Caenorhabditis elegans: one gene and its partners. The protein of the gene in region 4 interacts with the protein of the main gene of each other region in a pairwise test. Each region holds a gene or a part of one and is shown on either strand. Other genes may lie near its edges.

Region 1 (3,574 bases), on a different chromosome or scaffold from region 4:
TATTTCCCAAAATCAAGCCATTTTCAGCAAAAAAAATTTATTGAAAATTGAAAAGTTTTTAACTGATTGTCTAAAAGCCAGGCAGGCATTTTTGGACCTGCTTGAAAATAGCATATTGTGGAGTTTCCTTCAATTTTTTTGTACCAAAGACCGTAGAATCTTCAATTTCCCCGAATTAAAGTTTCACCCACATTGAATTAAAGTTTCACCTACATCTCGATACCCACATTCCAACAGTTTTTTCTTTCAAGGTAAACTGACCGCAAAAAACTATTCTAAATCACTTTCCTTCATGGCGGCGTATCTTTTGGCGGAAACATATTGTTCGCTTATTTCTCCCGCCATACAACTTTTTTGGTGATCTCTCAGGGTGGTAAGGAAATAGAAACAGATTGATGGAATGATGAGTAAGACTTTTTCAAAAGTCTTCCTGAAATGAAGGTCAGCTTACTTTTGGAAACCTTTTTTCCAAAAAAACATTTAATTAATCAAACTTCAACCTCAACTCTATAATTCTGAACAAAAAGAGCGCCGCCAAGAGTCTTCCGACTTCATTTTTTATGTATTCTTTCTCAATTCTCTGTTTTTGAACCTTCCGCCACGGATTATGTAACTTCGCGGTCAGTGAGGCGCACACTTTGCCCATCTTTTCATGTCTATTAAGTTAGCTAAGTACCAGTCAAGGTTAGACTACTGAAAAGTTTATAACTATATACTTTATATGGTTAGACTATCACAGTGTATGTCCTTCTTTTTGAATAATCTAGGATAAATTGAAAAGAAAAGAAAGAGGAAGAAAGACTGATCAATCAACAAACCAAACAGTTTCAAGGAGTGAGTGACCCAAAAATGATCGACCTTGTCACTGGATTTTTGCAGGAGAGAATATATTTAATTTGATGGTCGTGTTTTGAATTTTTCAAGAATTGTTAGATATGGAAATCTTAAAAATGGGGGGATGATGCTAGAATCTTTAATTGTTATTTTCTTGAACTCTCACAGCTGTAAGGTAAGAGGTATGAATATATCTTAATAAATATTTTGACATTTTGACACTAATAGTGCGAATACGGTATGTGTAGAACTAAATTTACTAAAAATATTCAAACTAAAAATTATAGTTTTCAAACTTTTATATTCCTAACTGTAATTCTCGTTCGTTATGATATAATTTGGATTTTCACCAATTTCAAATATTTTTTCAACGACAACGAATTGTCTTTATCTTTCTGGAATACAAATCTAATTTCCGAATTTTGAAATGTACATCTTTGGTGGCAACTTGGCGTTTTATAGAGTTCAAAATAATCTTTAACAATTCGTTTGAGCGTTGAGCATTTATAAGTCAGGGCAATATTTCAATTGGTCCGTATTGGTGCGAAATTATTTGAAAGAGCCAGATTGGGTGAAAGTACGGTAACTACAAAAAAATCTGGAGTTACAAGAAAAATTATTTAATTGGCCACCTCACGAAAACTTCTAAAATGATAGCATGAAATGCCAATCAGAAAAACAAGATTTTTTTAAGTTTTAGAGAGGGATCTCATATGTGCTCGTACAAGCACTGGTCATACCTCCCACATTTTGGATCGGTAGAAGTTTTTGTAACTTTTAACTCTTCAAAAGTTGATTTACAGGGTCTAAATTTATAAAACTTTTTTGTTACATTTTAATTTGAGAATATGGGTCTGAGCTCAGATTTTCAGATTTTCCAGATTTGTACCTCCTCCCAATCCTTTGACCTCGAACTCTTCAACTCCTCCCTCTATAATTTGGTGCCAATACGGTTTGTGCCAATATCCACCCTCCTAGTCCCGCCCATCAGATTGTCCCGTCCCGCCTTTCCTCTCACCATTAGCCTTATTCATTCAGTTCACCCACACTCACTCCTAGCCACCACCGTCTTCCCTCTCTCTTTTTATTTTCCCGCCCAACAAAAAAAGGAAGCAATGGCCAAGAAGAATCAAGTTGCCAGAAATGAGAGAGAACGCAAGCGAGTTCATCAGGTATGTACATTTATATTGAATCAATATTTTTGAGTACTAATTTTTTTCTAACTTATTTTGTCCCTCAATGTACATTTCTTAAATAAAACATTTTCCAGGTAAACCATGGTTTCGACGTGCTCCGCAACCGTCTTCAACCAAAGAATCATACCAAGAAATGGAGCAAAGCAGACACCCTTCGTGAAGCTGTCAAGTATATTCAACAACTTCAGGTTCTTCTCAATCAAGATCCACAGCAACCATCAGGTAAGATAAGTCTTCATGTGCTAAAAGAATTTTTGAATACATATAGAGCAAAAATATAATTATTGTAGTGTAACATCATAATAAGCAAAACAAATTAAAAGCTAGCAATCATGTGTACTTCTATGTTCTAGACTGTTCTAGACTGTAATTCTGTAAAATTCGATATGCAATTTAATTAGCATTTTTGTACGAGCTGTATCTAGAATAATTAAAAGTTTGCTTTAATTTTTTCCTCACAAGTAGTATTCTTCCAATTTTCTATTTTAGTTAATTCTCAAAATTTAAAATTTGATTTTACAATTCTCAATTAATTTTTTTCAGTTTCTTCTTCAACTCCCGACTACACGATGAACAACAGCAACAACTTCAACAATTATGCCGTAAAAGAAGAATTCTCGATGTATTTGCCTCAAAACTATTGCCCACAAAATCAAATGTCAGTACCTCATGGAGATGTTTCCCATAACTTCAATTCTCCAACATCATCAGTTTCCTCATCTTCTTACTCACCAACTCAAATGTGTTATCCTCCAGTTTCATATTCCAATTATCCACACCATTAATTTGGAAAATCGATATTTTAGTATTCCCTTCTTATCATTCAAAGATCTGGTGCATTTACGGGTCTCCATACTGTTTTTGTTTTTAATATTAATTGTTAGATTTTTTTCCAAAAAACTCAATAGCCAATAAATCAATTCCTACACATTAAAACTAGCTAATTCCGTGTCAATCGCCTCGCTTTCTCGTTCTTCTATTAGCCTATTAAAATCCGAGAAACAACCTTGGCGTCTTAGGACCCCTTTCCACGAAACCCAGTGGGGAGGCACATGCCGAGCCTTATTAATAATCCCCCGGCTGGCACCATTTCTGGGTCATGAACAGAAAAATACAATAGAAGAAAATGAAGAAGACAAGAAATAAAAAAGAAGGGTTTATGATGTGGATTGAGTGGAAATAGGGAGGGAGAGAGACAGGGGCATAAATGACTGAGTGACTTGTGTTTTCATTAGATTGAGTGACACTGATGCTAATGAAAGCGACAGTCCGTTTTGAGAAACATCTGAAAATTGTCTAGATTACCTGAAAAGGTCGTACTGTATTGAAAATTTGAAAGACCTCAAGTTGAAGAGTTTTGCAGAAACTGAGCCACTTGATCACTTATCAATTGAGTTACTGAATCCTCTTTACTAAAAAATTATTGGCATACAAGACATGTATCAAATCATCCTCTACAATTTTTAGTTGTTTATTTTTTGATATCTGCAAAAAGAACAAAGTTGTGACTTGGGCTCTATGGATATAAGTAGAAGAGCAATCAA
Region 2 (3,854 bases), on a different chromosome or scaffold from region 4:
AATTGTTCAAAAATTTACATCTATGCTCAACAAAAATTTCAATTTTGCTGGCTTGTAAGTGGAACGGTGGTCGGAAATCAGAAATTTAATGTACTTTGTCTGCTCATTATATTACTGCGATACTAACAAATAAAAAAACCATATTGTAAAACTTTCAAGATCTCATGTATGCCTTAATTTTCATTAAAATCGTATAAATATTCACCCTTACATGAGAACTATCATAAAATATCTCTAACTTTAGTGTTTTATTCATTGTCAAAAATATTTAACCACATCATTTTGATGTATTTTCCATTTTCTCATGTTTTTGCTCTCACAAGATTAGTTGAGCAAACAAACACATCCTTGTCGAGAGGTGTTCTGAGTCTCATGAACTAATAAATCCTCCTCACCGGATAGTATTACCTGACACATTGCCAGACGGTTGCGTTTTACAACTACAAACGTAAAGTTTATGAGAGTTCCTTGAGCCTGGAGTCTTGAGCAATTGGTTCCCCCTCTCAGTTTTTGCTATAATTCAAAAGCGACTCAAACAAGTATTTGAATGTTTATTGACTGCTGTTATTCCGCCGTTTAATGATCAATACTAGCGGCAAATTTACGACCTGGTTGTAAACTTGATACACTGTTTGAAGATTTCCCAGGAGTCGAAGCGGATTTCTTTCAGTCATCCTAACGGGGCTAGATTTGAATGCAATCAACAGGTGCCGAGTAGCATATGACGGTTTATATTGCACCGTACTTGAAGTAGCGCGCGATGAGAGGGAAAAGGTTGCGCTCGTTTTGACGGCAGAGTTACGCAAAATACCGACTGACTGGAATTTGAGGCAAAAAGTTGTGCTATGGAAATTGAGTAGTGTAAACTGATAAAACCTTGCATAAATGTGATTAGTTTATATTAGATGATTTACTCGGTGTAACCGTATGTGAAATGTGAAATTGAAAGGAAAAACTGTACATATAGGTTTTTTTCCCCCAAAAAACGTTTTTGAAACATTTTTAACACTGAATATATCTACTTTTACTTCAGGATTTAGAAAATAACATAACTATGCCTAAAATTCCAAATAAACCACGTTACATTTCAAAAACTGCAAAAACTTTTTGATGTGAACGAAACCCATAAGTACCAAACATTCCATACAGGAACACCTTTCAAACCAGACTTGGATGCCTTTCTAGGTAGTTTTCATGGATTTTTCTTAGTACTGTTTTTTTTTTGAAAAGATTGCATAAGAAATACTTAGTACATATATTCCAAATTCGTGGGAAATTTTTAAGATAGAGACACCTACACAGATTGATTTCCAGTTTCATTATAAGGCGTTTTCTCTACTTAGCAAGATGTCAGAAAACAATGCTTGCTTTTATCAAATATAAATGTAGATAAGCATTTTTTGAAATAATGGAACACAATCAACAAATATTCACAACTAAATCCCTTAATTTCTGTGCATCAATAATGCCAATGTCTCTACCGTATGATATCAATTGGCTCACTCTGTAATCTAAACAAAGTGTAATTGAGTCCGGCACGGGTTTGTCGGCATCTTTTCGAAGAGGGGTGATTGCGCGAAAGCCGTGCGTCGGGATGCCCAGACAGGGCGGCAAGCGGCTAGTTTTTGATGGCGGGGGATGGTCCGGATGGGAACTCGTATACCGAGAATTCATAAACATTTGTAGACTGTATCTGAACTGTGATTTACTGTGTTGATACTAGTGGATTCTTTAGAAAAGTATCTTAAACTCAAAAAAAAACTTTCTTATAGTCATATTAACTTATGTAGCAATAGTATTTGAATAAATTTTATGACGTCAGATAATAAGTTTCAATAAACATCGCAGCACTAATTGTAAGTGAATAATCCTGTTACTTTATTTGAGAATATAAAAATTATACTTATATTTTTGCCTCAAACTCTGATGCCATGCATATTTCACGGATAACCCATATTAAAAAGTCAAATATCGGAAGTCTATTTTTTTGAACATTTTTGGATAACCATGTACATATACACATCATCAATTTTACAACCCCTTGCCATTCCAGTTTTACAGCCTGTCTTTATACAAAAAATCTCCACCTCAACATAAGTATAATGTCAACAACAAAAACATATTCCAGGCCGGATAGTAGTCTACACAGATCCTCCCACCATCGTGAACCTTTCCTGCCCGCATCTATCCTCCCTTGCGGGGTCTGTCTTCTTGCTCCGCCCACCCGTACCCATCTTGCGTACCTCATTCCTCCGATTCAAGTCAGTGATATATCGCTAGCTCATCTACAAAATGGTCAAATCAACAACTGCTGGAAACAATGCGGTTTCTTCATTAGAATCCACTGATTCCAAGAAGTCAAGAAAGGAAAAGTCTCGCGAGAAGGAGCATCGTCGTGCTCAATGTATCAACTCGGCCTTTGAGATTCTTCAGCAGTAAGTTGTTAACATTTCTTTTCCCTAAACAAATAGCTAACTTAATCTTATTTTCAGACATATTCCATACCTCAAATCGGAAGAGAGAAAGTCGCTGCCAAAGATCAAAACGCTTCGTCTTGCCATGCAGTACATTGATCATTTGAAAAAATTGCTGGGAGGAAATGAGATGGTATGTCGAATCATAATGTTTGTAACTGTAGTAATACTTTTTCGTACCATCAGTCAAAATGATCGTGTTTTGAATTATCTACTGTTTCAAATATCAAATTTCTTCAAATTCCTAACTCTTGTACGTTTTTTCAGCTCGAAACCGATTGCAACGAATCTCGCCCACTCACTCACTCAGATTTCCGTGTCAATATCTCGAATGAGATTAGAATTCGGAACAGTTACCGAGAGAGAGCCCACAATCAGGAGTTGGATGAAGCAACTGTGAAGAGAATTTTGGCTCGCGAAGATCAACGCCGTCGCTGCAGCTCAGTTCCGGAGGGAATACAAAGTAAGATCATAAAAATAGAGACATGGAAAAACAATTGAAATTTTCAGGATATACTCCTTACCAGAGCCGTCAATTCGGACCGATTTCGAACAATGTGTGCAACTTTCGCCACGTAGATGCTAACCAATACAACACCAACTTCATGGAATATCAAACACAAATGGTCCAGGTCGCCAACTTCCCAAATCAGTTCTCGCATGAGTATTACAACTATGGCACATTCCCAGTTATTGATCCAACTTCATTGGAGAACAGTAATCCAATTTTGCAATAACATTGTCTCATGTTATGTTACTCACGGTTTCCTTAATTGATCTCTATATTTCGACACGTTATTTGATTGCTCAACATAATTGTAAAGTCCGTTTCCGGCCATAAACTTTGTTATATTCAATAAATTTGTTACCTAATAAACAGTGCTCTTGAACGAACAAAAATGTTTATGTAATAAGATATTGTGATCCCTGGTGGCCTCTAATCCTACTTATATGGTGCCATGTGAGCCGTAGATGTGGAGGGGAAGGAAGTTGTGGGGAACTTGAACGGACAAAGTTATTTGATACACAAAGGTTATGTCCAGAAAGTCAAGATAATCGGTATTAAACTCTAATTTTTTATTTAAAAAAGTAGTGTTAGAAATATCAATGCACAAAGTATCATATTTTCAATAAACTTTGAAAGTAAAACTACTTCAAAGATTGCAAATTCCTCCTATAATTGAAAAATCATGCGTAGAAAATTACACAGAACAAAAACTGTGGGCCCAAGTTAAAATATTTCCTCTGGATCGCTAGACGCTAAAATTTTGCGAACTGTGTCACAACGGACGAAGTGTCACAACGGACGAACCTTTTTTTACTGAGTGGAATGTGTGGTTATGTTTCTTTTATAGACTAAAACTAGCCCAAAACGATTGA
Region 3 (2,688 bases), on a different chromosome or scaffold from region 4:
CTGGGTATTTCTGTAATTCTTGAAAAATATAATTTTCCAGTCAAAAAATATGCCAAGTCTAAATTTGTGAAATGCTGATTACAGTAATATTTTAATTTCAAATGTTCCAAATATTTTTCAGCATATTTCAGCATATTTTCAAATATTTTTGTGACGGTTTGAACTTGGGAATAAAGCCAAGGGCAAATTGTTTATAGTGCTAAAATGTCCAAATAGAATAGGAAAACATCTTTAAAAAACTGATATCTCAAAAATTGGAAGAAGAGATAATTGTCATAAATTATCTTTTTTTTTTCAAAACTTATTAATTAAGTTTATTAATAAAAAAACAAAAATCACGCACAAGAAACAATTTTTCTCTACATTTTGTGAATCATTAAAATGGAGGAGTGTCCCATAGCAATTGGGTGCACTGTATATGTCTGTGAAAAATCAAACTTCGGTTTATAGATTCTACCTGGCCCAACAACTACAAACCTGAGAACGATTGCTGAACTTTGCTACTCAACAGCGGCTAAAGATGAACTTCTGATCAGATGAACATGATCATGAAAAAGAAAAAGTCAAACATAAAAACAAGGTGGAGGTGCTTCTATTCCAAATTCTAGTCTGATCTGGAACTATATATATATATATATCGGTTGGCCACTGTGAAGGTTGTGAATTCAAATCACAACTGATCTGTATAAGCATAATTTATTTGCATGTTTTTTTTTGACTATACATTTGTTTAAATTTCAGTGTGTCAAAAATAAATGTTTAATGCCAATATATTTATTGAAGCAAGTTGTCTAGAAAACTTATGTAAGCAATTGAGAATCGTAGAATTTCAATTTTTGAAAGTTTCTTTTCAACGGGAAGAGTTGGCAGGAGAGCTCGCAGTTGGGAAAATGCCATATTGAATGATTCTACACGAATTCTGAAAACAAACTATTTTGAAAGTTACCAAGTTTTAGAATTTGAACCTACCTTTCTCGGGTCGCATGAAGATTTCGATATTTTGGAGTTGCACGTCTCCTCTTCCTTCGTTCGGCTTTTGAAAGTTTTCGGTATTCTTCAGACGTGGTGTCCAATCCTCCATCTTCCATGAGCATTGTCTTTGAATAGTGGAACACTTGCTGGAATAGAGGATAGGAAAACGAGTAACAGATTTACCGAGTATCTGCATATCCCGAAACAAAACAGAGGCGGCGCGCGATGAGCCCATTTTATTGCTCATAACACTAATTGAGTTGGTCCACGCCCATATGTGTCCCTTTTGCACGCTGGCCGCCACTAAAGGATTACCTTTTTCAAGTGTTTTATTAGTAAGACATTGTAATTGGACTTTATTGCACATACAGAAAAGATACTCGTAATAAAAGGACACTGGAAGAAAATAAAGATTTCGGAATTTTAGTTGTGGTTTAGCGCCAGTGGGTTTTTTTCTGAACTTTTATATTTTTTTAAAATTGCCTGTAAAAGGTTTGGCAAATTGCCAAATTAAAAAAAAAGAGCTTTTAATCCTTTAGAATGTTTTAACACAAACGATTAGAACAAAATAAAAGTATAAACATCGTCCAAAAAAGTTTTATTTTTATTTTTTAAATTACAAGTGGCAAACTGGATAATTGTTACTTTTTGTCAGTAAATTAAAACTTTCCAAGTTTTTTAAAAATTGTACTATGATATTTGGCTAGTTTTGCACCATAGAAGTAGTTTTAAACACTGTCCCCACTGGCGCTACTTCACATTTAAAAACTTAAAATCAGAATAAGTATAATGCTTCAAATACTTTTTTAGTGCAAGAAATCCCGTTGGAATCACACTGGGAATGTAAATATCGGTCAACGAATTGTAAATAAAAAATATCAATCAAAAGAATAGCTGCTAGTATTGGAAGGCTGTGTTCTCATAAGCTGAAACAGAATTTGATCGTTTCGTCCGTCGAAAGGTGTTTCCATTGGTTTTTGTGCCATTTGTAAGTTTAGGAGCATCTTGCTTAACACCATTTGTATGAAAACCATTTGGAACGACTTGTTGGGATTGTTTCATTTCAAGTTCTTCTTGCTCTTTTTCAGCGGCTTTTCTTGCTTTCCTTCTGAACAGTGGATTTTTAAATTAATGATAGCTTGGCATTTAGAGCAATCTTCTCGCTCAAATTAATGAAGGGTACTTGTGTAGTTAAATGGCCCAAACTAACAAGTTTTCAGTTCATTTCTTTTGAATTGATAATTTACTTGAAAAGTGAAATTGATTTGCATTTTTAGGCCTAGAGAAATTCCTAAAGTAAGCCTAACGTTGTCAAAAATGGTCACGTAAAATTTTTAACAAGGCTAACATTTTTGTGCCAGGTATGCTACGCATGTACCTAACTTTGATAGACACTTGGCAAAGACATGGTCAGACTTGATTCAGGCTGTGCCCACGTTTAGCTCAAGTTGAGCTAAGTCAACGACATAAAAAAAGTTCGGGGCAAAATTATACTTGAACACAGCCTGAGCCCAGTCTTGCCCAAAATTTTACCAACTTCGGGAGAAGAACCTTACTTTAAATGCCAAGATTCTATCTGAAAAAAGTATTCCAAACATACTTATAATAATAGTATTCAAATGCCAAAGTGACTATGGAAAGTGCAATGCCGGCTAGAATAACGATGAATACACCTCCAATGTTTTGAATCGAAATGCCATCACTTTCATCCGATGA
Region 4 (5,766 bases):
ATTTGATCTGTCAATGATCAGATAAATCTTCTAAAATGATTGAAATCTGATTGAGACCTATCTTTACTTGCATCCCTTTTTCAACATTCTCAAATAAGTATCACCATTTAGTTAATCATATTTGTAGAACAAATTCGTCATTATTACCGTATTTCTAACTTTTTCTAACCAAACCATTGAGCACTTGAATTTGATGACAGCTGCACTCCGTCCCACAATAGACACCTCCCCAAATACTCTCGAGAAAAAAGTTCCAGTACCGTATACTTTTGACAACATCTGTCAAAAAATGCACTTTAGAGACGGGCATTGGAAGTATCATTTCTTTTTATAATTGTTGGTTTATTACCACAGAGAGACAATTTTAGGATATGGCTCAAGATATTTGAAGACTCGAGTAGTCCCACAGTATTGTGATTGCTGAAACTTCTGTTGTGAATATGAGTAACTTTATTCTAATAAAATATACCCCTTTCCTGTGCACACTCTTTCTCTCACTCTTACCATATTCTGAAGAATTAAAATTTCAGAGATCCCTACAAAACTCTAATAACATGCTTCAAAAATGAATGTACTCCCTACAGTCGGGTGGCGACATTTTCCCCCAAGAGAGCTGACCTCTTCTATTCATTCAATCCCCTTATTCATTCAATCCTTCCCCCATTTTCCTCTCATTTCACCCAAAAAAGACTGGTGAATGAATGGTGGGAGAAGAGATGGAGGACCCCGGGATAATAGAGGATTGTGTGCTGCAGGAGGTAGAGAGAGATGGTTGTGGGCGTGACCTCTCCCGATCATCGTCTCTGCGTCTCTTGGATGTAGACGGTCCCCGGGAGAAAGAATGTCTGCGTCTATGTACACCAATATACTGTTTATGTCCCTTGAATGGGCTTTTATACGCGTCCCTCCACTACCACCACCCTCGAAGAACCATTCCTAGCCACCCGCATAGCCGCTAAGAAGGGGGGAGTGCACTCTTTTCGTCTTTTTTTGTGTCTAAATCTGTTCCGTTTACTAGCTTTTCAAGTTCATGATCTTACTGTAATAAAACATAGCACATATTTTGAATGAAATACATAATGTATCCCATCTTCTGATTTTGAAAATTAAAATTTCTCTCCTCCCAATTTTCAATTTTGGATCTTTTACCAAATAATTTTGATCTGCATTACTTTTTCTCACTCCTACAATGTTTACGAATCCTTACCAATTTTGAATTTAAACAAGAACGCAAATGTATTGTAGGGCAGTTTTTTTTTCAATTATTGAGTTTATCAAAAAATGTATATTTGCATCCGAAATGTTACTAGCTCACGTTTAAAGCTTTCATATATATCTTATCCTACGTCTGAATTTAAACTAATTATTTAGATGGGCCTGAAACCCTTTGATCCATCACCCCTTTACTGTTATTTTATTGCTCTTTCGGGATGTCATCCATCCGATAATCATCTACAATGACATCTACATTTACAACTATTTCTTGATACCATCTCAACATCATTACCTCCCTACAAATTGTTCTCCTTCAAGTAACTTGCTCCTAATAATTTATACCGGAACTTAGTAGATCTATTGTGACGTCACAATTATTATTCTTTATTGATCTACCTTGCCTCTTTTGATCTCGTTTGCCTATTTAACCAAACGAGGAGAATCGATTATTTTCTTCTTTTTCTTATTCTCAATATTTCTTCAAATGGGGTTGTCTTGACGAAAATCTAATCAGAATATATTTACTAACCTAATTTTTTCACCTGCTGCTCCAGCCCAATTCCCTACTTATTCCCTTTCCTCTCCCCGCTTCTCCGCTGACTTTATTTCTTTGACATTACTACTATAATCGTCTTTCATATCATTTCGCAGAAATAAAGTTTTCAGAACCTCAATGGCGGATCCAAATAGCCAACTTACGTCAGCCACAACTGTTGCAACTGCCGCCATTGCTCAACCACAGGTTATGCTTCCAAATGCATATGATTATCCTTATAATATTGATCCGACAACGATTCAGATGCCTGATTATTGGAGTGGTTAGTCTTTTTTTCATTTGAAATCTATTATAATTTCAATTATATCATTTGGTAAACCAAACCAAACATGTTTTCGTGAATTTGTTAAAAGTCGCTTGTAATCAGTTAGAAATATTGGATAAATTGCAGAAAAAGGATATAAGTTTGGTATTACTTATCTCGAATTGTTGAATTGTTGATTTTATAAGCTCGCAAATTTTTAAAATTTACTTTAAGTTGAAACAAAATGTATAACTCTTTTAATGTTCTAAAATTTTGTAAAAATCTGGTTTGCTCTAGTAAGTAGTTTATTAACCAAAATGTTTATATCTCATTTCTCAAGTGCAAGTCATCTAAATAAACATTTTCAGGATACCATCTCAACCCGTATCCTCCGATGCAAACAACGGATATTGATTATTCATCAGCCTTCCTTCCAACACATCCACCAACTGAAACCCCTGCTTCCGTAGCTGCTCCAACTTCTGCAACATCTGATATTAAGCCAATTCATGCAACATCATCCACTTCAACGACGGCTCCATCTACTGCTCCAGCTCCAACTTCAACTACTGATGTGCTTGAGTTAAAGCCAACAACAGCTCCAGCCACGAATTCTGCAGAAACATCAGCGATTGTTGCTCCACAGCCTCTTACTAATCTTACCGCACCAATTGACGCAATGTCATCAATGTATACATGGCCACAAACATATCCAGGTTACCTTCCACCTTCAGAAGATAACAAAGCAAGTGAAGCTGTTAATCCATACATCTCAATCCCTCCAACATATACATTTGGTGCTGATCCATCAGTTGCCGACTTCTCATCGTATCAGCAGCAACTTGCTGGACAGCCGGTACGTTTCTATTCTTCTTGGTTTTATTCGTGTTTTACTGTTTTACCACAAGTTAATCTCGACGAATGATTGCTTGGCCCTCCTCAGCCGCCAAGCATTCACGTATGCATAATCCGCTTCCTTTTGATGTGAGCCGCCGCCTTCTGAAGATTGAGATGCATGCAAAAGGCGGCATCTTCTTGAGAAGAACACCCTGTGCGCACTAAACGACCTCCAAAAAAGTCACTAATGTAAACATAAAACAAGGAGAAACATACAGAAAAGATGGATTAGTTACATAATTAGGCAAAGTTTATCGCTTTTTTTGTTGGAGGAAATTTTTGAGATTCTTTCAGTTTTCTTTAAAATAATTTTTGCCATATGACAATACTAAACATTAAGATTCTGAACTACTGTTGTCGTGAACAAAGTTTTGAGACCCTGATGACATTTTTTTGCGTTCCAGTCTTGAGAAATCTAGAATAATATGGTAAAATCCCTGTATCCAACCTCTGACTAGTGAATAACTAAATTGGCCAAAATTTGAAGCTCTTGCTTTTTGCATTGTTACCCAATAGCCGGTCACATTTTCTGATGGTGTCCTCGAAAACCGAAGGGGGCTATTGACCGACGTCGCCGCATGATTAAGTGGTGAACAGAGACGGTCACATTGCGGGGTTCAGTACATTAAAGAGATCGATTGATTTGACTCGGCCCCCAATAGTACCATTTGAGAGAATTAACTGACTAGCAAGGCAAATGAAATTAATTCTTTGTTTTGTTTCATTGAGAGAAAAAGTTGAGTAGTTTTAGATGAGGGTTATAGAAATTATAAAACCAAAAACAATGAAATATTGCAGAATGGTCTTGGTGGAGATACCAACTTGGTTGACTACAATCATCAATTCCCACCAGCCGGTATGAGCCCACACTTTGATCCAAATGGATATCCAGGAATGACCGGAATGCCACCAGGATCAAGTGCATCATCTGTTCGAAATGATAAGTCTGCATCAAGAGCAACGAGCCGTCGTCGGGTACAAGGCCCTCCATCTTCTGGAATTCCAACTCGCCATTCATCGTCTTCAAGGCTTTCTGATAATGAATCAATGAGTGATGACAAAGATACGGATAGGAGATCACAGAATAATGCTCGAGAAAGGTGAGGAGTTTTTTACTTTTAAGACGTTTTGAATTGAACATTGGAAATTGACAATTACATAGTAATTTAATCGAGATATCTCCAAATCTAATCTAATACAAAAAACTTACAGAGTACGAGTTCGTGACATCAATTCGGCATTCAAAGAGCTCGGACGAATGTGCACACAGCACAATCAGAATACAGAACGGAATCAAACAAAATTGGGAATTCTACACAATGCAGTATCTGTGATTACACAATTGGAAGAACAGGTTAGATAATTTTTCATATTTTAAAGAAACATTCAAATTGTGAACAAAATTAATTGGCAATTGTTCGACTGCTGTATTTTTGACTTTGAAGCACATAACATTGCGATGGAATTTATTCGAAAAATTTAAACAAAACACTGAACAAGTTGAAATTTATAATTTTACAGGTTCGTCAACGAAATATGAATCCAAAAGTGATGGCTGGAATGAAAAGGAAACCTGATGATGATAAAATGAAGATGCTTGATGACAATGCACCATCCGCGCAGTTTGGACATCCACGGTTTTAAATTTAAAAATTGACTTTTTAAGCATTTCAAACTATCATTCCCAATCTTCTCCCAATCATCCATACGGCTAAAACTCTCTAGCATATTGTTTTTTTGTTCAAACTATTCAAATGTTCCCCTTCATCTCCCTCCGGATTGGAGGTCCTGTGATTTCTCAACTTCAATCAGTTTTCAGTTTTAAAAATTTTAAACTTTATTACAAGATCATCACAATTTTCTGTATGTTTTTAATTTATTTTCTCCTCTAAATTTAAATCAATCAATAGCTAATTCTAATATTTCAAGTATTAAAATTAACTTTCATATTATTCATTCATTCAATCAACTTCTTCCAACTTGTCTTATTTTTTGTGTGTGTGTATGTGATAAACCATAGCTAATTAGTATCTACTTGAAATGAAATGGTCCACTCAAAAAAAAAGACACCGCCAACTAATTTCACACATGAATTACTCTATTGGGTAACTGTTTCAACACTTTAATTATCCAAGCTCCGATGAAGTGCTAATGTCCTTCGCAGTATGGATTCCACTTTATGTTGAAAGGGATTCCCATTTATAATTAGACATTTAGTTTGACTTTCTAAGTCGTTGAAACGAGATGTTTTTTTCATGGTCTGTCAAAACTGATGTATAGGAATATTGGATGTATAAAATGTCAACAACGGGAAAAAATGTGATACAAACATAATTCATTCACCTTGATCAAAACAAACAAAATTTTAAAATTCAGAACCCTTTTTGCATCACTCAAATTAACTGGAAAATGGCTTTTCGGACAAGTTCAATTGCATTTGGATGTTTAAGAATTGCCATGTGATCAGCTTGAAATACTTCGTGTACAGTAACCTTATAACCATTATTATTTCCAATCCAATTAGTGCACACTGTAGCTGATTTTTTGTTCACTGTCCCGTCTCCATCACCCATGAATTCAGTTGGTGGATAATCTGGAAAGTATCCGGGAGCCCATGAAAACTTTTCCGGTGTGGGGACTCCTGTTCCATAAATACAATGAACTGGAACTCCTGGAGAACTTAAATTTCCATTCAGACGGGCGGCCTGTTTGTATTGTTCCCATCCAACCATGTAATTAATGTCTTGAAAGAATTCTTTAATATTTCCAACAGTGTAGTTTTTGTCAGCAGTTGTCGCTAATATTTCATGTGGTTTCCATGCAACTGGACTTGGAAACAGAAAGGCCGAAGAGG

What was found.
Region 1: the proteins of hlh-2 (region 4) and hlh-14 interact in a two-hybrid assay, tested with the Caenorhabditis elegans proteins (2 studies listed by BioGRID).
Region 2: the proteins of hlh-2 (region 4) and hnd-1 interact in a two-hybrid assay, tested with the Caenorhabditis elegans proteins (2 studies listed by BioGRID).
Region 3: the proteins of hlh-2 (region 4) and hlh-15 interact in a two-hybrid assay, tested with the Caenorhabditis elegans proteins (2 studies listed by BioGRID).

The regions. Positions count from the first base shown.
Region 1 is NC_003280.10:5,737,177-5,740,750, reverse strand, and holds hlh-14 (Helix-loop-helix protein 14), read left to right. Parts: upstream 1-1,855; 5' UTR 1,856-1,949; coding exon 1,950-2,006; intron 2,007-2,104; coding exon 2,105-2,252; intron 2,253-2,573; coding exon 2,574-2,815; 3' UTR 2,816-2,966; downstream 2,967-3,574. UniProt on the Caenorhabditis elegans protein: Probable transcription factor, involved in determining neuroblast cell fate, morphogenesis and aspects of terminal differentiation in both left/right symmetric and asymmetric neuronal lineages.
Region 2 is NC_003284.9:11,682,435-11,686,288, forward strand, and holds hnd-1 (Hand transcription factor 1), read left to right. Parts: upstream 1-2,126; 5' UTR 2,127-2,292; coding exon 2,293-2,435; intron 2,436-2,492; coding exon 2,493-2,607; intron 2,608-2,741; coding exon 2,742-2,937; intron 2,938-2,984; coding exon 2,985-3,211; 3' UTR 3,212-3,354; downstream 3,355-3,854. UniProt on the Caenorhabditis elegans protein: Probable transcription factor which regulates early embryonic myogenesis, in cooperation with transcription factors unc-120 and hlh-1.
Region 3 is NC_003284.9:2,412,195-2,414,882, forward strand, and holds hlh-15 (Helix-loop-helix protein 15), read right to left. Parts: upstream 1,184-2,688; 5' UTR 1,095-1,183; coding exon 970-1,094; intron 920-969; coding exon 775-919; 3' UTR 759-774; downstream 1-758. Other genes in the region: trpp-12 (TRansport Protein Particle), read left to right, coding at 451-540; glr-7 (GLutamate Receptor family (AMPA)), read right to left, coding at 1,870-2,080, 2,573-2,688. UniProt on the Caenorhabditis elegans protein: Transcription factor which binds the E box motif 5'-CA[TC][AG]TG-3'. Involved in modulating physiological aging, probably by regulating expression of branched-chain amino acid transferase-1, bcat-1.
Region 4 is NC_003279.8:7,190,030-7,195,795, reverse strand, and holds hlh-2 (Helix-loop-helix protein hlh-2), read left to right. Parts: upstream 1-1,875; 5' UTR 1,876-1,888; coding exon 1,889-2,033; intron 2,034-2,383; coding exon 2,384-2,871; intron 2,872-3,710; coding exon 3,711-4,012; intron 4,013-4,124; coding exon 4,125-4,266; intron 4,267-4,433; coding exon 4,434-4,556; 3' UTR 4,557-5,008; downstream 5,009-5,766. Other genes in the region: plag-15 (PhosphoLipase A2 Group), read right to left, coding at 5,306-5,766. UniProt on the Caenorhabditis elegans protein: Transcription factor which binds the E box motif 5'-CA[TC][AG]TG-3'. Plays a key role in the anchor cell/ventral uterine precursor cell (AC/VU) decision; required for VU fate.